7 linked regions of the Coturnix japonica genome follow. The protein of the gene in region 6 purifies or fractionates together with the protein of the main gene of each other region. This does not show direct contact. Links are inferred from orthologs where the notes say so. Each region holds a gene or a part of one and is shown on either strand. Other genes may lie near its edges.

The links.
Region 1: the proteins of DIS3L (region 6) and EXOSC3 purify together in Homo sapiens (affinity purification with mass spectrometry; 6 studies listed by BioGRID and IntAct, counting the BioPlex papers as one, with this or other methods). This does not show direct contact. The link is inferred for Coturnix japonica from reciprocal best matches to the Homo sapiens genes DIS3L and EXOSC3.
Region 2: the proteins of DIS3L (region 6) and EXOSC7 purify together in Homo sapiens (affinity purification with mass spectrometry; 3 studies listed by BioGRID and IntAct, counting the BioPlex papers as one, with this or other methods). This does not show direct contact. The link is inferred for Coturnix japonica from reciprocal best matches to the Homo sapiens genes DIS3L and EXOSC7.
Region 3: the proteins of DIS3L (region 6) and EIF4E2 purify together in Homo sapiens (affinity purification with mass spectrometry; 3 studies listed by BioGRID and IntAct, with this or other methods). This does not show direct contact. The link is inferred for Coturnix japonica from reciprocal best matches to the Homo sapiens genes DIS3L and EIF4E2.
Region 4: the proteins of DIS3L (region 6) and EXOSC9 purify together in Homo sapiens (affinity purification with mass spectrometry; 3 studies listed by BioGRID and IntAct, with this or other methods). This does not show direct contact. The link is inferred for Coturnix japonica from reciprocal best matches to the Homo sapiens genes DIS3L and EXOSC9.
Region 5: the proteins of DIS3L (region 6) and EXOSC1 purify together in Homo sapiens (affinity purification with mass spectrometry; 4 studies listed by BioGRID and IntAct, counting the BioPlex papers as one, with this or other methods). This does not show direct contact. The link is inferred for Coturnix japonica from reciprocal best matches to the Homo sapiens genes DIS3L and EXOSC1.
Region 7: the proteins of DIS3L (region 6) and EXOSC2 purify together in Homo sapiens (affinity purification with mass spectrometry; 5 studies listed by BioGRID and IntAct, with this or other methods). This does not show direct contact. The link is inferred for Coturnix japonica from reciprocal best matches to the Homo sapiens genes DIS3L and EXOSC2.

The regions. Positions count from the first base shown.
Region 1 is NC_029521.1:3,509,690-3,513,855, forward strand, and holds the start of EXOSC3 (exosome complex component RRP40), read right to left. Parts: upstream 2,801-4,166; 5' UTR 2,770-2,800; coding exon 2,494-2,769; intron 2,421-2,493; coding exon 2,271-2,420; intron 1,327-2,270; coding exon 1,175-1,326; intron 1-1,174. Other genes in the region: DYDC1 (DPY30 domain-containing protein 1), read left to right, coding at 3,119-3,265, 3,378-3,500, 4,042-4,113. UniProt on the Homo sapiens protein: Non-catalytic component of the RNA exosome complex which has 3'->5' exoribonuclease activity and participates in a multitude of cellular RNA processing and degradation events.
Region 2 is NC_029517.1:39,619,642-39,623,858, forward strand, and holds the start of EXOSC7 (exosome complex component RRP42), read right to left. Parts: upstream 2,801-4,217; 5' UTR 2,725-2,800; coding exon 2,668-2,724; intron 2,566-2,667; coding exon 2,464-2,565; intron 279-2,463; coding exon 184-278; intron 1-183. UniProt on the Homo sapiens protein: Non-catalytic component of the RNA exosome complex which has 3'->5' exoribonuclease activity and participates in a multitude of cellular RNA processing and degradation events.
Region 3 is NC_029524.1:13,648,256-13,651,755, reverse strand, and holds part of EIF4E2 (eukaryotic translation initiation factor 4E type 2), read left to right. Parts: intron 1-988; coding exon 989-1,093; intron 1,094-3,500. UniProt on the Homo sapiens protein: Recognizes and binds the 7-methylguanosine-containing mRNA cap during an early step in the initiation. Acts as a repressor of translation initiation.
Region 4 is NC_029519.1:48,282,512-48,286,662, reverse strand, and holds the start of EXOSC9 (exosome complex component RRP45), read left to right. Parts: upstream 1-1,351; 5' UTR 1,352-1,421; coding exon 1,422-1,487; intron 1,488-1,628; coding exon 1,629-1,723; intron 1,724-1,937; coding exon 1,938-2,057; intron 2,058-2,281; coding exon 2,282-2,384; intron 2,385-2,761; coding exon 2,762-2,899; intron 2,900-3,071; coding exon 3,072-3,154; intron 3,155-3,389; coding exon 3,390-3,522; intron 3,523-3,619; coding exon 3,620-3,708; intron 3,709-3,891; coding exon 3,892-4,038; intron 4,039-4,151. UniProt on the Homo sapiens protein: Non-catalytic component of the RNA exosome complex which has 3'->5' exoribonuclease activity and participates in a multitude of cellular RNA processing and degradation events.
Region 5 is NC_029521.1:19,502,293-19,505,817, reverse strand, and holds EXOSC1 (exosome complex component CSL4), read right to left. Parts: upstream 2,128-3,525; coding exon 2,097-2,127; intron 2,024-2,096; coding exon 1,908-2,023; intron 1,778-1,907; coding exon 1,703-1,777; intron 1,550-1,702; coding exon 1,461-1,549; intron 1,307-1,460; coding exon 1,273-1,306; intron 1,138-1,272; coding exon 1,087-1,137; intron 989-1,086; coding exon 904-988; intron 735-903; coding exon 628-734; 3' UTR 501-627; downstream 1-500. Other genes in the region: palmitoyltransferase ZDHHC16, read left to right, coding at 2,126-2,394. UniProt on the Homo sapiens protein: Non-catalytic component of the RNA exosome complex which has 3'->5' exoribonuclease activity and participates in a multitude of cellular RNA processing and degradation events.
Region 6 is NC_029525.1:16,720,453-16,724,612, reverse strand, and holds the start of DIS3L (DIS3-like exonuclease 1), read right to left. Parts: upstream 2,801-4,160; 5' UTR 2,735-2,800; coding exon 2,605-2,734; intron 1,034-2,604; coding exon 880-1,033; intron 170-879; coding exon 41-169; intron 1-40. UniProt on the Homo sapiens protein: Catalytic component of the RNA exosome complex which has 3'->5' exoribonuclease activity and participates in a multitude of cellular RNA processing and degradation events.
Region 7 is NC_029532.1:4,558,014-4,562,297, forward strand, and holds the start of EXOSC2 (exosome complex component RRP4), read left to right. Parts: upstream 1-1,484; 5' UTR 1,485-1,523; coding exon 1,524-1,648; intron 1,649-1,721; coding exon 1,722-1,823; intron 1,824-2,001; coding exon 2,002-2,047; intron 2,048-3,189; coding exon 3,190-3,279; intron 3,280-3,483; coding exon 3,484-3,549; intron 3,550-3,698; coding exon 3,699-3,767; intron 3,768-4,284. Other genes in the region: PRDM12 (PR domain zinc finger protein 12), read left to right, coding at 1-119. UniProt on the Homo sapiens protein: Non-catalytic component of the RNA exosome complex which has 3'->5' exoribonuclease activity and participates in a multitude of cellular RNA processing and degradation events.

The sequences.
Region 1 (4,166 bases), on a different chromosome or scaffold from region 6:
AAGTATTACAACATTATCAGCCAGCAGCTAAACAGTAGCACTGGAGTTACAAAAGCAACTCCAAAAGTTAAGACGATTCAAATTGCATATCCAGCCATATCAGAATTGAAGTTCTCCTCCCAAAACACATGCACCTAAAGAGAGCACCTGTGCACTGTAGCTGTTTTCCTAATTAGGCAGAAGAGTTACCAAGAACAAGGCTGAAAAACAACTTAGCTGTTCACACTGATAAGACACATAAACCAAATTACTTACTAAACCCAGGTATGACATAGCTACTTGTTATCTCCAAGAACAGATGCTCACCTCTCCTCCCTCAACATCAAAGCAACAACTAGTCTGACCATCTCTTATCACTATCAGCTGGTATTTTATGATAGTCACACACTGTTTCTAGTTCAATGTACATGCATCCTTTCCCCAGTAAAACTGGCATAAATGCAGCACAACAGCCACATAGCAGTTACTGGCTAGTTCACACTACTTGAATTGGAGACAGCTGTGCATATCCTACCTAAAAACAAAATGTTACTCTTCCAGTTTCAGCTGCACACAATTGTCTCTCCTTCAGTGCCTGCTAAGATGCTGTTCTGGTTTTAGGAGAAAAACAATGATAATACACCTGTATTTCCAGCTGTTGCTGAACACTGCTGTACAGAGCCAAGCATACTTCATTTTTCCCCACTCTCTCTTACCATCCTACCAACTGGGGGATGGGGAACTAACAAGGATCTCGGAAGCACAGGGCAGGGCACCCAAGCAGCTGGGAAGGGATAGAAATAAGACAGCTGACTTTAAGTGGCCAAAGGGATATTCCATACCATATAACATTACGCAAAAGGAAAGTTTTGAATGGGACATGAGTCCTTTTTTCTCTCTCTCCTGCTGCTTGGGGCCTAGCTGGGCATCAGTCAGTGGGTAACTTCCTATATACATTCACATATATGTATTTCTCTTAAGTAGTATCTTGTTTTCTTTTCTCTTTGTAAACAGTTTTATCTCAACCCATGAATTCTACTTTGTGTCTGTTTTTTAATCGATTCTATTCCCAAGCCTATAGGGAAAAGCAGGACAGGGTCTGGAGGGAGAGGAGCTAATGACTGTGTGTTGTTTAGACACATGCTAAGTTTAACAACCCCAACACTTTAGTACAACTGGTTTTCTTAGTACTTACTTTCTTATCAGACCTAAGGAAACTTTAAAGAGGAAGCCGTCTTGTCCAATTACTCCCATTCCACTTGCTCTTCCACTGCTGTCTATACAGACCATCTCTGGTTCCATGTCTTTATTTGCTACAAGGAACTGACCATAAACAAGGTCTCCCACCTAAAGCAAGCAGTGCCAGAAAACAACAAAAAAAAAGAATCATTAGAGAAGATAACAATGCACATTTGTAAGAAACATTCAGTCCATAAAGAGACAACAAAACAGTTGTAAACTGGATGAACACTTGGACAAGAACCAGCAGCGTACACTTGCAGCTCAGAAGGCCAATGGGATCCCAGGCTGGATCCAAAGAAAGATAGCTAGAAGGGTGAATGAGGTAACTGACCCCTTTATTCTGCCATTGTGAGGCCCCACCTGGGGTACTCTGTCCAAGCCTGTGGCCCCTGACACAAGACCATTGGAATGGGTCAGAAGAGGGCCGGAGCGCCTCTTGTGTGAAGAAAAGTTGAGAGAGTTAGGCTTGTTGAGCCTGGAAAAGGCTCTGGATAGACCCCATCGAAGCCTTCCAGTGCTTATAGGGAGTGACTTTTTATATAGCCTAGTAGTGACAGGACAAGGGGGAATGGCTTTGAATTAACAGAGGGGAGATAAAGGTTACATGTTAGGAAACAATTCTTTACTCAGAAGGCGCACCAGAAGCCATACCAGTCTATTCCATTTAAAATCACAGCCCATTTTACACCATGCTGACAGTGTTTCTGGTGAACGCACATATCACAAAACAACTTGTAAATGCTACAAAGCAAACCCTCCTCTACCAGCACCAGCGTTCAGAGGATGCTTTAAAGCCTCAGGGTGGCCCCTTGGGACCCACGTTACTGCACGAGTAGCACCTGCCACTGTTAACCGATGGGAAAGGTGTAAGGTCAGAAGTGAAGAAGCACAAAAAGCTCCGGAGAAAACAGAAAAAACTCACGGCCTCATCGGGACACCCCGTACAGGCCATGACAAAAGCTCTGTGAAAAAAGTCACGTTCCTCGTTTATATGGTCCGAGTGGTAAAAACACCGTTTACAAAGGCAAGCTCCCGGCGGGCAGCGTTACCTGCACGTTGGGCCTGTTCCTCTTGGTCGCGCCCTCGAAGGCCAGGTATGACAGCGAGGCCTGCTCGCTACCACCGACGTCCAGCCGGAACACGTCCCCCACCTTGCCCGTCACGATGCCGATAACGTGGTCTCCCTTCACCGGCACGTACTACAAGCGGGTACAAGCGATCAGCGGGCTCGTCCCGCACATCACCGCCCCCCGCCGCCCGCTGCCGCCGTACCCGCTTCTGCTGCGAGTCCACCCAGTAGGCGCCGCCCGCCGCCGCTCCGCCGCCCGCCTGCCGGTGCCGCAGCAGCCCGCACTTGGTGACCAGCAGCCCGCCCGCACAGCGCCGCAGCCCCGGCCCGCACAGCAGCCTCCCCCGCGGGGCCGCGCTGGTGCCCAGCGGCAGCTTGTCGAGGTCGGGCTCTCCGTGCTCGGGCAGCAGCAGCACATCGCCGGGCAGCACCACTTGTCCCACACGGGTCTCCGCCGGCACGCCGCCCCCACCCGCCATCGCGTGCGGCCCTTCCGGCGGAAGCAGACGCAAAATGGCGGCGGCGATGGAAGGGCCGAGAGCGCAACGACAGCGACACCGCCCGGCCGCCTGACGCAGGATCCAGCCGGGAGCGCGGTTGCCCGGTAACGCGGTTGGACGCGCTGTGCGATCGGGCCGGTAGGAGCGAAGCGGTAGGGAACGGGGGACAGCACCGCTACCACCTTCTCATATTAATTGCCTGATGAAATGAGCTTTGATAAAACCACCAACATCACACTGGGGATGTGATGCAGTCAACACTTCCTCTAACTGCTGTCTGAATTCCGATATCGGTGACTAATATCTGTCGGTTTGTCAGTAGGTGAGAATGGAGTCTCAATACCTGAGGAGATGTCTGGGAAGCTGCTTGAAAAAGGGTCTGGCGGAGGTTGTGGAGCGTCGGCCCGCTGACCCAATAGAGTACCTGGCACACTGGATCTACAACTACAAGAAAACACTAGAAGAAGAAAAGAAGGTGGGTCTACCTCGGGCAAAGCATTTCATGTCAATCTAACTGATGCTGTATAATCTCTCTTTGTGTTTTGTTTCCTTTTTTTTTCATTGATTTCTTGTTACCTCTGAAATAGAGAACGTTGGAAAGGGCCAAACTGGAAAAAGAACGGCAGGCAGCCCTGGAAGAACTTGAAATGTTAAGAAAAATGAAGGAAGAAGAGCTACTGATACAACAGAAACTTGAAGAACAACGGCAGGTTAATAGTTGTTCATAATTATAGTAGCGTGTGATGCTGGGTCAACTTGTAGCTCTCACTACAATAGTAGTCATTATCAACATAGAATCATAAGAGAATCAGAATGTTGGAAAGTACCTACAATTGTATTCTGATCTTGAAAGGGAAAAGATAACAAAAAGTGCTTAAACATTGCGTTTTGAAAATATCATTATTTCGAAAGGAATTAGAAAGGACAGCTGAGCAGCTGGGGAGAAAAACTTACCTGCTACATGACAAGATGTTACCAAAAATGAAGAGACTAAGCTAAAGAGAAACTAACTAAAGATATGTTAGAAAATTAGATTAGGATAAGTAGACTGTCTTCTGCAGTTAACTATCTTAGCTATTTTTTCCTCCCATAGAATCTATATGGATTAGTCTGTCTATAATAGATGCTGTGCAAAGCTTCAAAGAGCCTAATCCAAAGTATAGGAGATATAAATATTAACTACTAAAGAGCACGAGGAACTGAGTATCAAAAGCATATACGCTATCTTCAGCTGTCTTCTCTTTACAATAGGAACAAGAACGTGAGAAGATGGAACAGCAGAATAAAGAAGAGAACATGCAGGAGCAGCAGAAAGATCCAGAGGTTTAAGCCAAAGCTTAGTCAAGATAAAGAAATATTGTTAATCATCTCTCTTA
Region 2 (4,217 bases), on a different chromosome or scaffold from region 6:
TGATGTTTCTGAACATTCAGCACAGCTAAGACAGTAAAATAAACTGCTGCTGTTACTCAGACACTAAGCAGGTTAGGGCAGTGAAGGTTCACATTTCAGATCTGATTAGGTTTTTTATTTCAAATGTGAGAAGCAAAGTGTATATGCATACTGCTCCATTACCTTTTCTTCTACTATACTAACCAGTCAACAAAGAATTCCAGATAACCTTCATCTGGTTTCTCTAACTTCGGTGTCCCCATTTCAGCTTTTACACCAACCAAGATATCAGTGTGTCCCTGTTAAAACAAAAATACATCACACAGTTAGAACTATGGGCAAAATACACTCAGTTGAGATGCCTACAGCATGCAGACACTACCATCTATTCTGTTGTCTTTGCTAATTGCTCTACTAGAGAATTGCAGAACAGAAAGGCTTTAGGAGAACAATTCTGTGCCCACATATCAGCTTTCTTTGTGTATATAAGACAATCTTAATAGCCATACCTTTTTATCATTGCAGTTCTGGATCAGTTATTTCTGCAGAATGTTTATAATACCGCCAAAAAATAATTGTTTTCTTTACAGTCAACACATGCCAGAAGTAGTTTTGCTTCACTGTAAAGGAGCAGAATTATTTTTTCCAGTGACAGGCACAACAGCATCTAACACCCAATAGCAGATTAGTTCAGACTGAAGGCCTTTCAGGCACTCCACTATAAATTTAGCTCAAATGCATTAAGCTAACTTGAATTATTCATATATCTTGTCATTATTTCCTCAACCTATCATGTCAATTAGAGCTAAGCACATACATACATGCATAGGTCGCTCTGAAAGTAACGTCTTCTATTTATTTCCACAGAAAATATAAGAGGTGCAAAGAGCAAAATAACATTATTTGATTGAACAGATTCTCAGCAACAAAACCTTATTAACATAGTCACCATCACTCTGCATTTTCACCACTGATGAACAAGAGACTGCATGCTGCACTCATAAAAATCTGCACCAGCAGAGGTAACCCACTGTTTCATAGCTATGACTGCACCACTGCTAGGAAAGCATTGCCTGAGCAGTCTATTTTCCATCAAGCCCAAAGAGGTGGAAGACAGAAGGCACCAAATCCACACTACACAGTGGGTGCTGTAGGACAGTCCAGACAAATTTGGCAACGTGCTCCAGGGTCCTGAAACTGGTATGGGACTTGGTGTTATCGCATTGCAAGAGAAAAGGTGTCTTCTTCTCTGCCTGACTCTGGAAGCTCAAGCCTTCAGCTTAGTCAGTGTCATGATGTAGCAGTCAGAGCTGATGGTTTGTCTGGGTTTCAGGAAATCCAAAAGGATCACTTCTTTCCTATCCCAAGAGACAGTTCACAATACTTTGCCTGCTGAAGGCTATCTCTTGAACTTTTTCTTCAATAGGGAATCACATGTCACCACTCCATGGACTGCGTTTTCTCACCGGTGCGTAGTGGTGACACCACATCTCATCATCACTACTGATGTGATCCTGGAAACTGTTGCCTTCAGCCTTGTATTGGTTCAAGAGATCCTGACAAACTTATAACTTTGAATCCCCCCTGTCGTGCAAGTGGTAGAAGTGCCGCTCTGCTACACAGGAGGCTCGAATCCCAGGGGTTGGACTCGATGATCTCTAAGGTCCCTTCCAACCCACACCAGACTGTGATACTGTGTGATATACAGTATTCTTTCTGCTCCTCTGTGAACACTTATGGGAGCCACCTGGCATGCATTTTCTGATATTCCAACATTGTCACCATCATTTCTAATGCAATGAAGCTGATATTCAGCTCTGTACACAGTTCCCTGGTCATAATCTGCTGATTTGCACAAATGAGCTGATCAAGACAGTTCATTTCATCGTATGACAGCCGTGCATGGTCATCTAGAACATGCCTTGTATTTCACAAGGTGAAATGCACCACCACACAGAATCACAGAATTACCTGGGTTGAAAGGGACCTCAAGGATCATGTAGTTCCAACCCCCCTGCCTAGCAGGGCCACCAAACATACGCCTTCACTAGATCAGGTTGCCCAGGGCCCCGCTTCACTGTGCTCACGTTCGCTGTTGGGTCTCCATCAGCATTCAGCATGCGACAATGAATGCCAACAGGGACAATCGTTTCAACACGACATAATTCAATACCACATCTTTGCATTTCCAAGTCAGACACCATTCTGTCAGACTGCACATCTGCTGTCATCAGTCACAGGGCAACACAATAGAATGAAATATTGTTGGGAAGGTTCAACCTCTACTACCACACCACCAACATCTGCTTATGATACTGTGGGCCAACATCATAAAATAGGAGGGGCTGTTTTTGGAGCAACATATTAGACACATATGAGGAGACACACATGGACGTATTTACAAGCAGCAATTATTTATCATAAGCCAAGCGAAACAAGCCAGTTTTATCAGCAATGTAGACGACTCCTGAGCCGTTCACCTACCAGCTTCACTCTCGCAGATCCACTCGTGTTGGACACCACATCTGTCTCTACTTCTGCACACCTGTAATCTTCACAGCCACGGCCATCCACACGGAGGTCCTCCTAAACACGACAACCAACGTAATCGCGAACATAAGGAACCTGTGCTTTTCAAGCTTCCCGTGCCGAATACATCACCAAAGATGACAAGCAACTATTCCCTACCTGGACGCCGTGTATGATGTACATCTTCTCCGCGTCGCTCAGCACTACGGACGCCATGACACCCCGCGCGCTGCAGAGCACTTCCGCTTCCGCTTCTCGGAAGGAGGCGAGCTCTGCGCCTGCGCACCGCCGCACTTCCGCAGGCGGGAAATGGCGCCGGTCGCCTCAGCGCCTTGTACAGGGCGGTGGGGTCGGCCCTGTGTGTGTGTGTGCCCTTAGCTGAGGTAAAAGTAACCTGAGGGTTGTGTGCCCCGGTGGCGCAGTGGTAGGAACGCCGCCTTGCAACACTGGGGCCCGGAGTTCGAATCCCCCCTGTGGCACAAGTGGTACAAGTGCCGCTCTGCTACAGAGAGGCTCGAATCCCGGGGGTTGGACTCGATGATCTCTAAGGTCCCTTCCAACCCACACGAGACTATGAGACTATGAGGGTACCCGAGTATGAAGCTGAGGTTCTCCTGGCTGTCAGACCGCGGAGAAATGCGGAGTTTTACCCGAGACATCGTGCTGGTGGTGTGGGAATGCGATTAAAGGCTCCAGTTTGACACTGCGTTGTAATTGAGGGGTGTTTATTGTGGCAGCTTCCATTAGCTCACGTTGTAGGTGCCATACGCTCAGCACGGCTCTCCTGTATGTTGGTTGGTGCGCTGAGTGGTGCCCACTAAGGGCACAGTGAGGTTTGGGATGTTAGGGGGAAGTTCTTCACCAGGAGAGTGGTTAGGCCCTGGAACAGGCTGCCCAGGGAGGTTGTGGATGCCCCGTCCTTGGAGGTGTTCAAGACCAGGTTGGATGGGGCCCTGGGCAACCTGATCTAGTAAATGTGTATGTTTGGTGGCCCTGCCAGGCAGGGGGGTTGGAACTACATGATCCTTGAGGTTCCTTCCAACCCGGGTCATTCTGTGAGGTTATGGCGCTGGTGCTGCCTGGCTCCCAGCTGCACCCACAGCGCTCAGACACAAGGAGGGGCAGCTTTCCTTCCTTCATTCCTTCCTCCATGTCTGCCATCCATCCCAGACTGGAAGCGCAGCCAGCAGCTCCTCGCTGCTCACAGGATGCGGTGTCGTTTATAACAAGGACAAAGCGATGCCTTCTGCCTCATTTTAGCCAGCTGGAAGTGGAAAAAGACCGTGATGGAGCCGCCCGGCACGCAGGGGCTCACGCTGCCCGGTGAAGCTGCAAGCAGCGCAGGCAGCGGCCGCTAAATCCGCAGGTGCCGGCTGCTGCTGCCCGGCTTTGCGGTGCCGAGGCCCGGGGCGGGGCCGCCGGCCGCCAGCCGCCACTTCCTGGTTCCTCCGTTGCCGCCCCACCTCCTCGCCGGGATCGCGTAAGGGGACGGCGCTTGGGGAGGGGGGGGGAACCGCGCTCCGCCGGGCCCAGTGCCGCGCGCGGGGCGCCCGCTCCGGCGGGGCGGATGGGAGGTGGCGGCGGGCGGCGGCCTGCGGGTAGGTGGCGGGGCAGAGCCACGGGACCGCGGGGCTACGGGTGGGGTGGGGTGAGGTAAAGGGGGATGCGGCCGGGAGCGCCTTCCAGAGCGGGCCGTGACATGGGCTGCG
Region 3 (3,500 bases), on a different chromosome or scaffold from region 6:
GACCCCATCTCAGCCTTGATTCGTAATTATATTGACTATAAAAGCAAGTTTCTGTTTGGATGGCAGAGATCAGAGTTTGAAGCAGAATTCCAAGTGCTGACCAAGTCATCGAGGTCTCTGATAAAGTACTTGGAATGGTGTCCAACCCCTCCAGCTTCACTGCTGATCTGCTTAATAGCTATGGTCCTACTGAGTAGAGTCCTCTTAGAAAGTGGAAATTAGTATAATCTGTTCCAGTGCCTTCTTTTGAAGGTTCAGCCTCTCTAAAATCCCTTTTCACCCAAAGAATCTAAAAGAATAGGTATTTTATTTTAAGAATTAAAAATTCTGGCCAGGCTGTCTGAAGTGGACACGGTTGGGGGGAGGTTGGCATGGTGAAAAATGGTATTTCTGTGGTGGTCAGAATGTCATAGAAGGCTGTAAAGGGAAATAAGTGGGATTTAAACAGAAGTTCTGAGTAGTGCCTAAAGATTTAAAAATAGCATCAGAATGTCTCTGTCTTAAAACCCGGACACAGTAAAAATCAATCCTAAATATGTCAGATTTGGAGGGTTTTTCGGTCTCTGTTGGTGCTGAGAACAGTAGTTCATGCAGGAATGAGTTCTTGTGTAGTGCAGGGTGGCTTGACTTTAGCTGTTGCACTTGATATGTCACATCCACTAAAGTTTGAGCATTAGAATCTAGCAACTGTTCTCTAGAGCAGTAACTATCTTAGCACAGACTGTTTGGAACAAACACCAAGTAATTTTTGCAGGCACTTGTTGAATATTTCAGGTGGTCGCCTGCTGATAGAACCAGTGAAACATAGGCACCCAATCTCTGATTCTATTGCTGCTTTTTGGGTGTCCTAATAAACTCCCTTGTGACAAGAAAATAAAGAGGGGAAGATGTGTCTAGCTAGCTGTTGTAGAAAGGGAAGCCTGTTTTAGTCAGAGCTGTGGCTCTGAGCAGTTTGAGCATCCTCACTGTGTGGTTCATGTCATTGCAGGTGGAGCAGTTCTGGCGGTTTTACAGTCACATGGTACGTCCTGGGGACCTGACAGGCCATAGTGACTTCCATCTTTTCAAAGAGGGCATCAAACCCATGTGGGAGGTGAGTTGGAGCTCTCGTGTCTGCCTTGATGCTCCCCAGAGAATGATGGATGAAACCTTCTGTGGTGAAGAGAGTCTTGTCACTTAATGGCACTCTTGAGTTCAGCCTTTTCTTCTGAGCTTGCTGTAAACTTGTTCTCAAAACTCTGTTCCGTGTAACCTGGTGGCTCTGTGGTCTTCTGGCTGAGGAGAGGGCAGATGAAGGGAGTTGCTAGCTGTGCTTGCTGTGGGTCCAGAAGAGTCTTCTGGCTGGTGTTGCATGCAGCTCAGTAAAGGGTAGCCATGCTAAGCTCTGTGCTCACTACACAGCACAGCACTTTTACCCATTATTAGTGCTTTGTCCTATGGCAGCAGCATGGAGCTTTCCTCTAAAAGAAACAGAACCTCTCAATAAGGGAAGAAATAAGAGAATAAGAAGCAAGGAGATGCATGTGCTTAAAAGCCTACAGCTCTATGCAGAACAGAAAATGGAAAGAAGACTTAGCTCTTCATTCACTTTTTTTCCTTTACAAGGCACTTGATTTGCACGTGTTCATTTCTGTCCAAATCTGTATAAAGAAGGGAAAAAAAAATCTTTGCCCAACAAATCATTCTTCCAGCTCCTGGCTGGCTTCCAGCAATGACCAATACCATTTGCAATATGAGAATTTTATGTGTTGCTCTGCAGTACCTAATTATGCTGCTTGGTCCTGAGAAATTTATATGTGACCCTGGTTGGCAATTATTTTAAGCAAGGTGTTTTATAGCCAGTTACTGCAAATACAATTTATATAAAACGCTTAACCCTCCTTGGACTCCTAGTCAGCTTAGCTGCTCTGATAATGTGTCCACCAGAGAGTCCACAAGTTAATGATAGCAGAATTTCTATAAAGAATTTCCCTGTAGCCATTTTAGGATGAAGATGGAGAGGCTCTTTGTCTTTTATTTCTGGTCACGTTGCCTTCTTGTATTTGTAGAAGACTTACCCTTGTAGCTTCCCTTCTCTTTGCTACCCTTTTTAGGGCTTTATGTTCCTTCCTCTTTGAAAGTAAGCTTAATTACTGTAATTTTTGTAAGCATGTATACATATATGTGGTTCTGATCTTTTTCAGAATCCATCTGTGCCTTTTCTGGGTAAAGTCAGTAGCAGTAAGCATAATGTTCCCTTGTGATTTTCTGGGCTGCAGATCATTATTATTCTGGTAAATGGAAATGAAATGCTTGACTGAACCAAAGCTTGTTTAACCTGAAAGAAAACTAACAGTAACCATAAAACACACAATACAGCATCTGCTTCCCAATGACCATTCTCTTTCTAGCCTTGAACCTTCCTGAACAATGTTTAAGTTGTTTTGAGCTATACCAATTTATTTTCTTACCTCTGTAAGTCAGTGTGGAATGTTCGAGGAGTGAAACCCAACTTAGGCTGAATTCTTAATTCTCAGAGTGGGATGTCCACAACTTGGAAAACAAGGATGCTTAATCAAAAAGCATTTTTGCATTTCATGGGAATATGCGGCATTCCTAGAACTTCTGCTGATTTAGATTCTTCACCTTGCATGTGGCTGCTCTCATGCGTTGGAGGTTTGTCCAGAGCTCACACCTTCCCCTTTCACTATGGACTCTTAACATGTAGATGGGATCTGGTGACTGCTGCTCCTCTGCTGGCATTTTCCTTTTTGCTCAGTATTGTTTCGTTGGCATTTGCTGTCTCTGAGAGTGCACAAGTACTTAGTTTTTCTAAGCCCTAAAGAAGCTTTATAGTTAAAATAAAGTTTATTTTGTCCTGTTAAGAAGGATTGGGCTGCCTTGCCTTGCATCTTTGAAGTGTAACTTAGGTTGGCAAAGGGGATTGCTAATTGTTTGGCCAGGGATGTTCTGTGTAATACAGATCACTACGAGCTCTTTTTCCTTCTCTGTTTTTGTCCTAGACCTCTGTTCATTCCCTTCCTAACTGCCACCTCCCCTTAGACTTGTTCTTACTTCTCAGTTGTTGTCTTTGGATGGAATCCATTCCCTTTTGTAGGAGTTTCCAGCTACAAGGGAATGCCACAGTGAGAATTCTGCACAAAGGAAGAACTGCTGTTTGATGTGGTTGTGTGTTTGTGAAGCAGGGCAGTCTGTAGCAGTTTTCAGTTCAACATACAGGATTGCAACTTTGAGGTGACAGGTTGGGTGCTTAGCGTAAATTTTTCCTTTCCTTTCTTCCAATTTTTGTGTATTTCCTTGGGTCAGCACAGTTCGTCTGTATCTGTGATAATGACAGTGGCTTCCAGAGAACAGGCTGGCCCTTCTGGGTTAACTTGTTATGTGAGCTCGTTCCTGGAAATGCTGAAGAAAAACATTTCAACTTTCCCTTTACTTTTGAACATGATTTTGCAAACTGTTTCCATGCCTTCCATGTTCTGTGATAAGGGATTTTTCCTCTT
Region 4 (4,151 bases), on a different chromosome or scaffold from region 6:
CTACTGAGCAACCCCTTACTGCAAAAATCCCACTGTCCATATAGTCTGCAAGAATAGTACAACTTATTAGCTAATGTGGATGACTTGTTGAGCAATGCATCCATTTCCAGATTTCAATTCTTTTTCACTGGTAGACAATATAATGTTTTTTGTAAGAGTATTAGAGAGATGGTAAGCATTATCTTCCCTTGCAAATGCAGCAGTTATAACAAAACAGTGCTAGTGAACGAGATCCAAGTAGAACTGATTAATTTATCCTTCCCAAGATAAGCAGCATGCTGAATCAATAACAGTGACAGCTAAGATACCCAAGGAAGCCCTGATACTTCCTGCTAAATATCTGAACTGCTGCATTAGTCATGCACAGAATGTCCATTTAAGCATGAAATTCAGCTCTCTCTCTTCTTGCACAGAAGCTACGAGAATTAAACTGCACTGAAAAATGCTTAAGCTTAATTGCTTGCCTGCTGTGGTCGACCTCAATGCAAACGCTGCAGGTCCAGTTTTCACACCTGGAGCACAAATACCAGTGATTCCAAATACAGTTGGCAGTAAGTCATTGTACTTTCCAACCCTCTCCTCCCCTCCCCCCAAAAAAGAGAAAAATAGAAAAAAGGAAAAGGGAGGTGGTGGGGAAAAATAAACAAACCAAAAAAACAAAGGGACAAGGGGGAATGGTTTTAAACTGAGACGGGAGGTTTAGGTTAGATATTAGGAGGAAGTTTTTCACACAGAGGGTGGTGACGCACTGGAACAGGTTGCCCAAGGAGGTTGTAGATGCCCCATCCCTGCAGGCATTCAAGGCCAGGCTGGATGTGGCTCTGGGCAGCCTGGTCTGCTGGTTGGTGACCCTGCACATAGCAGGGGGTTGAAATTCGATGATCACTGCGGTCCTTTTCAACCCAGGCCACTCTATGATTCAGTGAAAAGGTGGAAAGAAATAGCAAGATAAGTTGATTTAATGTGGGCTGGTTCAATAACAGTGAAGATTTCTCATTGAAGAGAAGTGTTTACTTCTACTGTCAGGCAAAATGACATTGAAAGGCTCTACAGAGGGATCTGGATAGGCTGAATCAGTGGGCTGAGACCAACTGTATGAGCTTCAACAAGACCAAGTCCTGAGTTTCAGGAAGGGAGGTCACGGTGAGGTGAAGTCGGCCTCTTCTGGGTCACAGTGACAGGACAAGAAGGAATGCCGTCAAGTTGCACCAAGGGAGGTGTAGGCTGGGTATTAGGGAAGAAGGAATTCCTCTCACAAAGAGCACTAGGCGCCTGCACCGAAGAATCGCGTCCGCCCACCGCCAGGGGGCCCCATTCAGCAGCTCCGCCGGCCGCGCTCTGTGGTGAGGCGGCTGGAGCGGCCGCCGCGTGTTGATGACGTCCCGCAGCCGAGCTCACGCCGTCCGTTTGTGGGGTCTGCCATGAAGGAGACGCCGCTGTCCAACTGCGAGCGGCGCTTCCTGCTGCGCGCCATCCAGGAGAGGAAGGTGCGGTGCCGGACCGGCCTCCCCGTACCCTGCCCCGTACCCTGCCCCGGGCCCTTGTCGCCTCAGCTGCGGGGCGGCGCGGCCCGGCGTGGTGCGCTGACCGCCCCGTGTGTGTGTGTGTGTGTGTGTCTGTCCCCGCAGCGGCTGGACGGGCGGCAGTGCTACGACTACCGCAATGTGCGCATCTCCTTCGGGCCCGAGCGCGGCTGCTGCGTGGTGGAGCTGGGCAAGACCAGGTAGGAGCGGCCGGGGGTCTCCGGGCTGGGACACACACAGCTCTATGCGCATTCACCGCCCTCAGGGTGAAGGAAAGGAAACTTGAGCTGAACAACGAGAAATGTGTTAGAAAACATCCACATGGGTCTTTGTTTTTTCTTTATATGTTTTGTTTCCATCGTTAGGTATTTTCTTGCTAAGCTTTCTGACCTAGCTGCTTATTTCCTTCTGCAGGGTCCTTGGGCAAGTCTCATGTGAACTCGTTCCCCCGAAGCCAAACCGGGCTACAGAAGGGATTCTGTTCTGTAACCTGGAGCTCTCACCCATGGCTGCACCTGGCTTTGAGCCTGGCAGGTACGTCGCTTTCTTAAGAAGTCCAGGCAAGGATAATGGTGCAAGTGGTAGAAGTGCCGCTCTGCTACACAGAGGCTCGAATCCCAGGGGTTGGACTTGATGATCTCTAAGGTCCCTTCCAACCCGCACGAGACTGATACTGTGATAATGTATGAACCACTGCTTGGACACGCACAAGTATGTACCATAATGATGTTGAATTTGGGTTGATTTTGTTTGAACAGGCAATCCGAGTTACTGGTCAAAGTGAACAGACTGATAGAACGATGCCTGAGGAATTCCAAGTGTATAGATACAGAATCCCTCTGCGTTGTTGCTGGTGAAAAGGTAGGAGAAAACTACCAGTCTCAAACCATTGCATAGAATCACTGAGCTTGGAGAAGACCTCCAAGATAATCCACTCCAACCATCCACATAGCACCAATATTTCCCCACTTAAGCCACGTCCCTTAGTTATACATCTAAATATTTCTCGAATTCAATCACATATAAACATGTTTAATGATTTTAAACATAAAAGTCACTTTTTCAGGTGCTCTGTCTTGTTTTGAATACTGGTCTTTTTTCATCCTAACTCTTAAATCAAATACTCGAGGAATGTAAGCTGCTCTTTTTTGTGATTCAAAAACTGGAAGTGTCTTGGAAAAGCAGGAGCTTCTGTGGAATTATGTTACACATTGCCAGTTATACATGTTTTCCCTCAGGTCTGGCAAATCCGTGTGGATCTGCACCTGTTAAATCACGATGGTAACATTATAGATGCTGCCAGCATAGCAGGAATCGTGGCCCTATGCCATTTTCGCAGACCAGATGTTTCTGTGCAAGGAAAAGAAATAACGGTGGTAAGTCATACCAGGTTTACCTCCATAAGTCGTAAATGGGAAGTATTATACAAGGAGAACCAAAAGAGATTTTTTATTAATATTTAGTTGACTAGACTTTTTTTCTTTGCTTTCTGTTTCTTTACATTGCTCTTGCACAATGTAAGTAACCAATAACCAATTCTTTTCTCAGTACTCTCCTGAGGAACGTGATCCTGTGCCCCTGAGCATCCACCACATGCCTATTTGTGTCAGTTTTGCCTTCTTCCAGCAGGGGTAAGAATTCTTCTTAAAGCTCTTGACAGAAACAGCTTATTGTCAGTTGTGCAAAATTATTGTTACAGCACTGTGAAAATACTCTTGTTGACAGACAGCTTTCTTAACACGTTCATACGTGTTCTCCACAGTGTGATAGTAGCCAGCAGCTTGCACAGATAGGAAGAAAACTGTTACAAGGGAGTCAAAGTCAACCTCAAACTTCTGTTGTCTTATGTTAAAAACTTGGTTCTAGGACGTATTTGTTGGTGGATCCAAATGAACGAGAGGAACGTGTGATGGATGGTCTCCTTGTAATTGCCATGAATAAACATCAGGAAATTTGTACCATCCAGTCTAGTGGAGGGATTATGCTATTAAAGGATCAGGTAAAAGTCAAGGAAAACATTTAAGGATCTGTTCTGTGGTTCTATTTTAAGTCATGTTTTCATGATTCTAAACTGTTACCGTGTATGTAACGTACAGGTTCTGAGATGCAGTAAAATAACAGCTGTGAAGGTTGCGGAAATAACAGAATTAATTCAGAAAGCTTTGGAGAACGACCAGAAAGTGAGGTGAGTTTTTGGGGAAGGAATGGAAAGTACTTTGAAGAACTGATTGAAAAGTTAATGCCAGTTTATAATGAAACAGCAGGTTGTTTCTGTTTGTAATCATTTCAAGTATTACAAGTATGGAAATGCTTGCTATATTCATATATGTGAAATATCCTGAAATAACGTCTGTTGTTGGATGACTAGGAAAGAAGGTGGGAAGTTCGGCTTTGCAGAATCGATATCAAATCAGAAGATCACTGCCTTCAAAATGGACAGTGCTGCTGTAGATACCAACAATGTGGAAGAACAAGCAGAAGAAATCATAACTAAAGCTGACCCTCCTTCAGAAGTGTATGTTTTCTATTCGTTATTCCAGGGGGGAGTTTTCCTCTTATCTGCACTGGCCCTTCTAGAAGCTAGTAAGACACTCAAGCTATCAGATGGCTCCGGGTGGCCCTATAGCC
Region 5 (3,525 bases), on a different chromosome or scaffold from region 6:
AGTTGTCTTGTTCCAGTTCAATAAAAGATGAATATGCAATAATTAAATGTCAGCGTTTCCTTGTGCCACTGCGCCACGTGGAGCTCCCACTTTGCCTAGCACCGCATTTCCTGCACCACCACGTGTCTGTGATGCGCAAGTTGCTGCTGACTTGTGGGTGCAGAAGGTGCTCAGACTGCACAGCAAAGCACAGTTCTGCAATCCTCGCTGCAAAGAGTGATTCACTGCAGTGCTTTATGGGCTCTGGGCTGTGCCACACCTCTGCCTAACAAAGGGCATGTATGGCCTGAGGTGATAAGCCATCCTGGGGATGAGCACAGCAGCCATAGATGGTGCTATGTACCACTAAGCCTCAAAGCCTCGCTGCTCCCCAGGACAGGAACAGACTTTCTCACTCCCACACTGATGGGAGAAACAGCCCCCTCCAGCAGCTCCAGAGCAGAAGGGCTACAGGCAGCCAGAGCAACCCCTGCGGGCAGTGACTGAGCAGAACACAGAGCTCTCAAAAAAACCACGTTTATTTATTACTTACAGCACAAATACAAAACCCATCCTGCTGTATGGAAGATGCTGGACCCCACCATAGCAGCTCTCTTTCCTGGGGTCCCTGTACCCCTGAGGAGGCTGCTATGTCTGCAGGAACTGAGGCTGCACACGGGCCACCTTACGGAAGTCCTTGGTGTGCGTCTGTGGGCACTGCATCTCACACCAGCTGATAGGCACCATCTGCACCCCTGCAGGCATCCTCAGTTAGCAGATCCCTTCCTGCTTTGTCACACTGCCCAGCCCCAGCAGCCCAAAGCCTCCTCGTGCAGCCCCTGAGGCTCAGCAGTGGGAGGAAAGGAGGGTGTTTGCTCCCCATGCTGCACTGGCTGTTCCTCACATGGAGATGAGGATTCCTACCTGCGTCGCTGCGTGCCACCACCACACCCAGCTCGTTCTCTGCCGTGCTCAGCAGGTAGTTGGACTGTGCATCCCCCAGCGAGATCTGGTTAGGTTTGTGTTAAGGGAAAGACTCCCTGCCTCTATAGCCCAGCACAAACCCTCCAGGCCCGTGGGCCCTCCCACTGCGATGGGAAAGGATACGACTTTGGCCAGGACTATGTCACCGGGGCGGAAACTCTTGTAGACTTCTACCTACGTGGGAGGGAGTGGACAGGAGTGCATGGAGAGCGCAGGTACTGCTCGATAGGCACCCCATGGGCAGCAGCACGAGGGGAGCTGGACAGGGGGAAGCTGTAACAGCACTGTACCCAGCAGTGCCCCGCTGACCTTATCCTTTTCAGTAGCTCGAATGTCTTCCCTCCTAGAAAAGCAGACACAGGAATGTGATACCAGAGAGAGCCAGGAGGAGCTGCCCCGGCCTCCCTGGACGGCAGCCAGGCCTCGCTAGATGCATCCACGCAGCTGTCCTCGCAGCAGGCAGGCACCGCGCAGTGTGCCCCCTGCCCTTTCCCTACCGTATGGTGCCACGGAAGGTGGATTTCAGCGGCGTGGAGCCAACGTACAGGATGTTCACTTTGGCAAACCGGGAGTTGATGCTGCACACCTGCACCAACGGGCGGCGGGCACTCAGCGCCCGCGCAGCGTGGGCCGGGCCGGGCCGGGCGGCTCCTTGAGTGTCCGCCGCCGTCCGTCCGGAGCTCCGTGAGCCGAGCACACGGCCCCGGCCGCGGGGACACGTGGGGACAGCGGCACCCACCTTACACGTCACCACGGAGCCCACGTCGGGCAGCAGCTGCGCCTCTGCATCCCGCACCACCGACACCACGGGCAGCTGCGGGGCACAGACAGATGGATAGACACACAGACACACACACAGACACACACACACACACATAGACACACACACACACCCGGTCTCAGCCCGGTCCCGCCCCGTTTCCCGTTCCCCGCCGTGCTCTCACCGCCCCGTCCCGCTCGCAGCGCCGCACGCATCCGCTCAGCGCAGCGAAGATGTTGCCGTTCCGCACGTAGGTGCCGCTCCCCGCCGCGTTTCCGTCCGCTCCGCACAGCCGTTCTCCTGCGGGTCGCTCGCTCAGCACCGGTCCCGCACTTACCGGCCCGTCCCCCCCCGCCGCCCGCCCCGCACTTACCGGGCACGCAGTACCGAGCTGGTGGCGCCATGTTCAGCGTCGCGCGTGAGCCCGCAAAGAACCCTCCTCCTATTGGCTCTCAGCGACGGGGCCGCGATGTAAGCGGCATACCTATTGGTTCTCTTTTAACCTCAGGGAGCGGCGGTGTCGCGCGGCCCGCTGGGAGTCGTAGTGCGGCGCCTCGTGCCGGCCCTGCCCGCTGTGCTCAGTGCGCAGGCGCGGGGCGGCGGGCGCTGCCCGGTGCCGTGAGGGCGGCGGGAACCGGGCATGGCGGCGGGCGGCGGGGAGCGGGCGGCAGGTGCGAGCGGGAACGGGAACGGGAACGGGATGGGTGCGGCGGGGCGGGGAGCGGGGCACGGAGCGGGGCGGGCCCGCGGCCTTGGGGCGGCGTGACCGGCTGGCACGGCCGAGGGCAGCCCTGAGCCCAGCACGGGGTCACCGGGAGCGGGAGCTCATCACCCGCCGTGCGGCCGTGCCGGTACCGCTGTGTCCCGGTCCCGCCGTGTGCCGGTTGTGCCGGTTGTGCCGGTCCCGCCGTGTGCCGGCCGCTCGCTCTGTGTTCCCGGGCCGTGTGTTGGCGCTGGGCCGTGCCGCTGCCTGGCGCGGTGCCGAGCGGAGCGCTCGGTTCGTGCCTTGGCCGCATCCCGGGCCGGCCGTGCCGTTAATATTGATGGCCCGGGGGCCCTGACCCGGCGGATCGTTTGCCTCATTTCGGGCCCGGCTCGGGTTCCTCCTCGCTCCCATCGCGGCCCTCGGGTGGGATAAGAGGCTCAGCGGGAGGACGAGGGCTCGGTGCGTCCCTCTGCTGTCCGAGTGCCCGCAGCTCGGCCTGGCACAGCGCAGCGTGGCACTGTCCGGGGAGCTGCTGGGGTCGGTGTGCGATGGGCTCTGCAGCTTGGTCCGGGGCTGAGGCAAAAGGAAGAGCCGTCCAGGTGCTGCTGGGTGTGAGGAACAGGGCACGTGTTTTGTGCGGGCTCCCTCACTCCCGAATCCATTAGCAAAGGCTGCTGAGGGGATCCCCGTGGGTTTGGAGCGTTCCCTGCCCTGGAATGAGCTCTTCGCCCCATGTGCCCTCACCGTCTCCAGTTTCCTCTGAGTCAGACTCTCCGTGTCGCTCCCCAACCCCCTCCCCTGTGGGAAAGACGAGATGGGAGCAGGGAGCACCCGAGGTCAGGCGCGGAGCCTGACAGCCCCGTGTCCCCCCTCCGCACACAGAGCTCGGGAGCGCAGCATCCCTTTGGGCTCAGCGCCACCCGCTTCTGCTCCGCATCCTGCGCAGGGTGAAGGAGCCCTGCCCCGCCGTGCAGCCTGACACCTGGCCTGCCCACACCCAGCATCTGCCCACATCCAGCATCTGCCCACATCCAGCATCTGCCCACACCCAGCATCTGCCCACACCCAGCATCTGCCCACACCCAGCATCTGCCCA
Region 6 (4,160 bases):
TTATGTTACCCAGTGCAGTGCTGTATATGTTAAAGCAAACCTGGTCTGCCATTTCTCCATGGATTCTCCCTTCTCTCTTGGCTGGTAAGAATTCTGGTGGAACTCATTGGCAAACACTGTACAGTCATGACGAGTGTCCTTTATTAGATTTCGCAACTTGTTGTACTGTCTGGAAAACAAAAAAGGTAAATATCAACTTGTGCTTTCTTTTGATAACGCCTGTTTGTTTTCATCTGGTAATACAGCTGAAAAACTCAAGGAGCACTATGGCCCCACACAAAGAAATGCATTTATTAAATTCCACCATTGATGAGGAAATGTAAAAAATCATCTCTAAGCAAGTTTTTTTAGTTGCATTACAAATATTCTGTAACACATTTGTTTTCTGATAAACCCCCCCTCAAACATTATAAGCATGTAGGAAATTGTATTATTGTTTCAGAGGGAAGATGCTTTGGCAATATATAGGTCTGCTCAGGTAAGTGCTGTGTAATAGCACTGACTGACCCTCAAAGATGAGCTCTCCGTCTGCAGTACAGCAGGAACAAAAAGGTGCACAAAATCTAGTTGTGGCATAAACCACATTGTTACTGCAAAGTGTCCTTTGTTGCTGTCACAAGCCATCCAATTCATTAGTGATGTTACATGTTCAATGATGCCATTATCAAGCAGATACTATTACATGCACTGATGCCTATGGATCACCAAGGATCACATTTCTTTACCTCCTGTAGAATTAATGCTTTTGAAAAACCTAGAAATAACTTAAGCATGGGATTTTTCTAATTCAGGGTAACTGCTGAAATAAATATTGTACAAAGTCAGTAAGTTACTTCAATCTGTAGTAAAACAATAAACAAGTTGTTATAGGATCATTACCTGCGACCTTTTTGGTGTTGCACAGCTTGACATGCTGTTTGCATGAATATAATACCTTTCAGCTCTGGAAACTCAAGGATCTCAAGGTAGTCCTGAACAACCTTCCAGTCTGGGACAACATAGTGAGTCACATCGTCCGATAACAACTTGCCATCTAAAATATAAGGTAGAGATTAAAGATTGAAACTTTTAGATGCGATACTGCTTCCTCAAATAACTTGAAGTGCCAGGAATTTAGAGCAAAGAAATCTAACATCACTGTGAAAGGGATGCCATGTAAGTGCATGTAACATTCCTTTTTCTTCCCCTCAACTTCCACATGGAAAGACCACAAAATCTTTTCACGGAGCCATTCAATAGGTGTAGTGCTTCCCCAAATCTCTCTATCCAACACTATCCATTTAGAGCAGGCTCTTCTCCTACATCTTTACATAAAAGGAAACAGGTAAAAGATGACGTTCTCAAAGAGGAAAGGTCCAAATCTAGACTATTTTCTCCAGAGAAACTCCATCCCTTGTGGGTACACCATCAAATTATCACAACCAACCCAGCACTGATTAAACCTTAAAACATCACCTCAAATTGTAGCAATTGCTAAAGATTTGATGGGTAGCCATTAACTCTGCTGCATCTGCTGATTTACCCATTATGATATAATAAAACCGGTACTTCTGTAGTTACCATAGGGCAGGGCAGTTGTATACAATTAGAGCAGAATAACTTGCAGGTCGGCACAGTGTGTTATCAGAGTATCTCTAGGTGTGATTTATGCAGAGGAGGAAAGTTTGCTGAGTACAGCATGCAGTCAGGAGTGAAAACTAATGTTCACCTTACCTCTGAGTTACCTGGAATAACTACAAAGGGTGTATTCTGGCACACATCGACAGCACTATTTACATTCAAGCCCAGAAGAGAAGTTGGTGATGGGCAGAGGGCTGAGATCTTGGTACGTGTCTGTAACTTACAGCCAAAAGCTGTGCACGTCTCTGTGCACAAGGGAGCAGTGATGAACTCAGCCTGACATCCAGCTGGCAGTAAGATGCTGTGCTGCCTTCTGCCCTCCCATGCAATGGGCACAGAGAACTGAAGTGACAACACTGACATCAGCTGCAGCTCAGGAGGAAGAACTGAAATTCTGTGCTTTTTAAGCTGATCCACAATGTACTTAACAGCACCTGAGTACACAACAGCTGTCACAGAAAGCAAAGCCCCGTGTGTGCAATGGGAGCAGAACAGGAGCAGAGCGCTCCGTTATGGGACAGGAACTGCTGACAGAGCGCAGCTGATGCACAATTACAGCCGCTTCACGATGTCGCATGGGCCCGGTTGGAACAGCCACACACCGGATTTCTTTCACACTATAATCACCACCAAGGAGAAATAAACACTTTTAGACAACCTTTGAGGGAAATAAGGCGTGAAATGCGCGTTTCCCGCCGCACTTTGGCCTTTCAGAACCACCCCTGGGCTGTTTACAACTAAATCCTTTATCAGCCATCACCTCCCTTCGGTTCCTCTTTCATTTTTTCCCTCAATACTTCGTACGGTGGTGTCTTGAATTTAACACCTCCGCTCCTCGGTGCCGCCCACCCCCCCGCTGTGCTCCCACCGGTTCCTTTCAGCCCTCCCGACCCTCCAGGCTCCGCTGGGCCGAAGGGTCGCACCCTCCTTTGGCCCAACACGGATCACACCGCCCAGCTCCCGGCCTTTCCCTTCCCGTCTCACCGCGCTCACAGCCGGCCCGGCACAGCGCGCTGCGGCACAGCACGTCGTTCCGGAGGTAATGCTCCCTCACCACCCGCACCGAGCGGCCCTGCTGGCTCCGCAGCTGCAGCACTTTCTCCGTGCGGAGCATTGCGGCGATAAGCGGAGCAGAGCACCGCCAGGCCGGACTGCGAGCGGCGCGAGGGGCGGTGCAACCGAACGGGGCAGGGCCTGAAGCGAGGGGCGGTGCAACCGAACGGGGCAGGGCCTGAAGCGAGGGGCGGGCACGAGCCGTGCAAGGGGAGTGCGGGATGTTCTGGGGATGGGCGCGAGCTGGTGTGAAAGCACGAGATGAGAGCGGCACTGAGGGACGGGCACGAGCTGGGGGAAGGCGGGAGCGGGATGAGAGCGGCTCTGAGGGAAGGACGGGAGTGAGGGAGCGAGGATGGAGCAGCTCTGAGACGTAGGAGAGAGATAAGGGGAAGGTGGGAAGGAGCTGAGGAGAAGTTGGCGAGCTGAAAGAAGCAGGGATGAAACCGAGGGCGAGTTCTTGAGGGGCTGGTGCCGAGTGGGAGCTGAGGAGAAGGAGAGCCCCGGTTTGTGCTGCTCAGAGCTGACGGGTTCCCTTTGGAGTGGTGAAAGCGGTTAGGAAGTGGAGAAAATGCTGGAGAAGTGTCTGCAGTGCCCGTGGAAGGTGAGAAAGAAGGGGCTGCTCTGTGGGGTGAGGTGGAGAGCTGGTCGTAAGAAGATAGATTCGGGGTCTATCGCTTGTTTTCAGGCAGTTACCAAGGGCAGGAGTGTGCTTGTTTTGTATGGGAGGCACTGGGAGGCTGAACGAGGCCCAGAAGCAGCACTTATTTATCGACATCAAACAGAAAAGCAGGGGAAGGTTGTGGCACCCAACGTGGTGTTTGTGGGCCCTGGCCGGTGTGCTGTAAATAAGACTGTAATGCTGCTCGTATGACACTGGGGGATGATTTTTACAATTAAAAAGTCATTAATACTTTCTTAAGGATGCCTACATCATAATCGCACTTGAACCTAATACGTGGTGCAAACTCTCCAGTAGTTGCCCTTACGAGAAAAAAAGGCTGGGACAAAGCCAAGGCAGCGTGTCACTGTGTGTTCCTGTTTATTCTACTTGCTTCTATTTCCCATATTCTGTAAAATGTGTGTCTGCAGTGACTAATATTTCTGAGTAACCAATTGGTGCCAGTAAATGTAAGTACCATCTGTAAGGAGCTGGTTTGTGGAAGCCAAGTTCTCAGCATATGAGGAGGAGGAGGTGTTAAAACTTGGTGAGAGACGACTTAAGTGTGGTCTTGGTTGATAGTCTAGATGATTTTAGATGTATTGTGTAAGTGAGAGGAAAGGAGAAATGGAGACCGAAGTGATGGAGCTCTTGTTCAGTAGGAACAAATATAGAATAACCATTGGCGACAGGATGAGAAAGAACATTTGGGGGAAAATATCTAGAATTCAGTTTGAAATGCAGCGGCTGCTCCCTGCTGTGACACAGTGAAGAGCACAGATCAGTGTGCCTACATTGTGTCACTCTGTGCCTGCGATAAAAGGAA
Region 7 (4,284 bases), on a different chromosome or scaffold from region 6:
CGCATCAGAAAAGCGCCCGTCATCGACCCCCCAATGCATCCCTGCAGGCTCATTCGCCTGCCCTACCCGTGCCCCATCCCGCTTCCTTGGCCCATCACATCCCCACCATGGTGCTGTGAGCCATGGAACGGCAGCAGCACGTTTCTGGATGGTCGCTGCCCACGTGCAAAGACTGGCATTGAGATGTGTGAGGAACTGGGAGCCCGTGGCAGAGCCGCTGCTCTGAGTTTGCATTGGGAGCATCAGCGTTTCCATAGGGTTTGGTGGGAAAGGGAGAATGGGAGGGCACGGCAGGACATCCCGTGTGGATTTTGCTGGTGTGTTCGGAGCTGCGGCTGCACCTGGATGAATCAAGGTTGGGTTTTATGGATCATTTGATAGGAAGGAAAATTGCTTTTGTCCTTTCTCCTCTGTGCCAGCGAGCGCCCAGCAAGGAGACGTGGCACAGCATCACTGGGACCATCAGCTTTGTCTGTTCAGCCGAGTTGGGTTTTCCTCCCTCTATCCCCAGCTGTGCCATGGGGTTTGTCTACATGCCACCAAGGGATGGGAGGCTGAGATGGGCTGTGAGACCCCCGAGGTCAGGCTGCCCGGGGCTCTGAGCACTGTGTGTGTAGGGAGTTGGACCAGGCGGCCTTTAGGAGGGGTTTGAGGGGGGTCCCTTCCAACTTGGACCATGCAATGACGGCCCAGCAGCTGCTCAGCCCCATCCAGCCCTAAGGGAGCGCTCAGCTCTGCTGCCCTCTGGGGACCGCACAGCCCGGAGCGGCTGTTCCCATTAACTTGGAAGGTTGTTGTGTTCATCCTAAATCCGAGGTGTATAAAAGCTCTCATAAAAATAAAAACACTGCGTTTTACTGCCAGAAAAGGGAAAAAAAGAAAAACCCAAGAAGGAAAATATATAATAACCCGTCACTTTAACTTTGTAAATATTTATGTAAAACATTATTTACAAGCCTTTGATATTCTATATTATGGGATTGTATACGCACAGCGCTGTAAATACATTTGTACCTCTCTCTTGTACTCGAAATAAAAAGCGATTCGGGACCGAGCGTGGTTTAAATTGGGGGGAGGGGGGGGCTGTGGGTCCAACCCCATTAATGGGTGCTGGGACCCATAGGGAGCACTCAGCCCCATAGGGATGGATGGGACCCATAGGGATGGATGGGACCCATAGGGATGTATGGGACCCATAGGGGGGCACTCAGCGCCATAGGGAAGGCTGGGACCCATAGGGGGGCACTCAGCCCCATAGGGATGGATGGGACCCATAGGGGAGCACTCAGCCCCATAGGGATGGCTGGGACCCATAGGGGAGCACTCAGCCCCATAGGGATGGATGAGACCCATAGGGGAGCACCCCCTGCCCCATTCACATCGCTGCCCCCCCCCAACCTCCCTGCCAGGAACCAAAATGGCCGCCCTGTACCCAACCCACGTGACTCTCGTTACGGCCCTCATTCAAGATGGCGTCCGGAAGTCACGTGTAACCGCAAGGCGCAGTTCCGCCTTCAACCAAGATGGCGGCGGTGTCCATGCGGCTGCCCGTGATCCGTAAAGCCGTGGGGCCCAGCCGGCCTCGGGGCGGCGAGAAACACCTGGTTGTACCCGGAGACACCATCACTACGGACACGGGATACATGAGGTGGGGATGGAGGAGCATTAGGGGACGGGGCAGGCCGCGGTTTGGGCTCTAATGGCGTCCGTTCTGTCTGCAGGGGACACGGCACCTATGTGGATGAGGAGAAGCTCGTCGCCTCGGTGGCTGGAGCTGTGGAGAGGGTGAATAAATTGGTGTGTGTGACACCGCTACAGAGCAGGTGAATATAGGGACGGGATGTGCAATGGGATGGGTAATAATGGTGTGTAATGTGTGTTAATGCTGTGTAATAATGCTGTGTAATGTGTGTTAATGCTGTGTAATAATGCTGTGTAATAATGGTGTGTAATAATGCTGTGTTAATGCTGTGTTAATGCTGTGCTCTGTCCCACCGCCAGGTACAACGGGGAGGTCGGAGACATCGTGGTCGGGAGGATCACGGAGGTGAGGAGCTGGGAGGACACGGGAGAACGTGATGAGGTCTGACAAAGAAAGAGTGAGATGCTGGAGCACAGAGAGCACTGTGCCATGCAGAGCTGCAGGAGGGCGTTGGTGGCAACCGTAGTGCCCATCCGGATCCATTGTAATGAGCTGCCGTCCAGTGCGCCCATAGGGGGAACAGGGACCCCACACTAAAGGGGGGGACACATAGGGATGGATGGGATCTATAGGGATGGATGGGATCTATAGGGGATGGATGGGACACATAGGGATGGATGGGACACATAGGGGAGTACTCAGCCACATAGGGATGGCTGGCGCCCATAGGGATGGCTGGGACCCATAGGGGAGCACTCAGCCCCATAGGGATGGCTGGGACCCATAGGGGAGCACTCAGCCCCATAGGGATGGCTGGGACCCATAGGGTTGGATGCATGCAGTGCAAGCTGTGGGACAGGGAGGTGGGCATGTCCTCGTGTGAGGCCCCATCTGTAGCACTGTGTCCTGGTGGGGCATCCTCGGTGCAGGATGGACATGGATCTGTTGGAGCACATCCACAGGATGACCGTAAAAGTGATCCGAGGGATGGAACAGCTCCCTGCGGGGACAGGCTGAGAGCTGGGGCTGTGCAGCATGGAGAGGAGATGGCGCTGGAGAGAGCTGAGAGCAGCCTGTCATTATCTAAAGTATCTTTCTGTAAGGAAGAAGGGGACTGACTTCTTAGCAGGGTCTGTTGTGATAGGACAAGGGGAAATGGTTTCAGTCTCAACAGGAGAGATTTACATTCAATATAAGGAGGATGTCTTTTACAATAAGGGCAATGAGGCGCTGGCACAAGTTACTCAGGGTGGTTGTGGTTGCCTCACCCCCACAGACATTCAGGATCAGAGCTGGACGGGGCTCTGTGCACCTGAGGGACCTGCAGGTGTCCCTGTTCATTACTGGGAGTTGTACCAGGTGGCTTTTAATGCTCTTTTCCAACTGAAATGATTCCTTCTCTGACAGCCTCTGCTGCACTGGCCGGTCATTTCTTATGGCTGTCACAGTGCTTTGCTATAGAGTCAGTCATCTGCATGACTTCCCACTTAGATTAGAGACTTAGTTCATTTTCTGAGTGTACATTAACGTTGTTTTTTCTTCACCAGGTTCAACAGAAACGATGGAAAGTGGAAACCAATTCCAGGCTGGATTCAGTCCTGTTGTTGTCGTCTATGAATTTACCTGGTGGGGAACTGGTGAGCACAGTTTGTGCAGAGAAGGACCACAGTGCTGCAGGGCAGGATGCTCTGAGCCCCTCCTGCAGTTAGCACACGTGTGGTTTTGACTTCCCATGCATTTTGCACAGTGTCCTAAGGAGATGATCCTCTCTTTGTGTTGCTGTTAATTAATGTTTTCTCATTCTACGTGACCCATAACTTTTCTTGCATTGTCCATTTTAGAGGAGGAGATCAGCAGAAGATGAGCTTGCAATGAGGGACTATCTGCAGGAAGGGGATCTCATCAGTGTATCCTTTCACTGCTTGTACTTGGACAGAAGAGTCAAAGGGATTGGAAGGGGGAACAGCCAGACCTCAGGCAGGCAGGGAAAGCTCTGTTGGTGGCTGTTGGTACAGGGCAGCATGAAGAAGTCTGTTTCCTTAAGAGGCACTGACAGGCAGAGGTCCAGTCTGTGTTTTCAGATGGGGCTGTATCACTGCACACCAGGAGTCTGAAATATGGGAAGGTATGTTGTTCAAAAGTCTCATTTTGTGCTGGTTGGATTGTATGAGTCTCTAACCCTTGTGCTTAGTGGTCTGTTAGAGGGTCAGATCTTGTTAAATACAGTGCAGTTCTATCCATGTCAGTAGAATTTCTTTGTATTTATATCGAGATAGCATCAGGATAGAGGTTTGGGGGGAGATCCTTAAGGAATAAAAGGCTCTGCAGTAGAGTATGATATTATAGCCCTTGTCAGTAGGTTAGGAAGAATTTTAGCTCCTACATGGGAGCTCAAAGCAGAGTTCCTCATTGCACACATTCCCTCTGAACTGCTGCTGTCCCTCTCCACAGTTACTGCATGAATCCATTTCTCCCACCAGTTGCTTGGGACTTGAGCTCTGGGAAGAAAAATCTTCTATCTCAAACTTTATCGCTCTTCTTCTGCAGGTCATTGTCCCCATGGCTTGCTGCTCACTCCAGGGCTCTATTTTAGGCTTTATGCAGTTGGCATTTATCTCTGTTTTTGCACATTGAAATAAGCC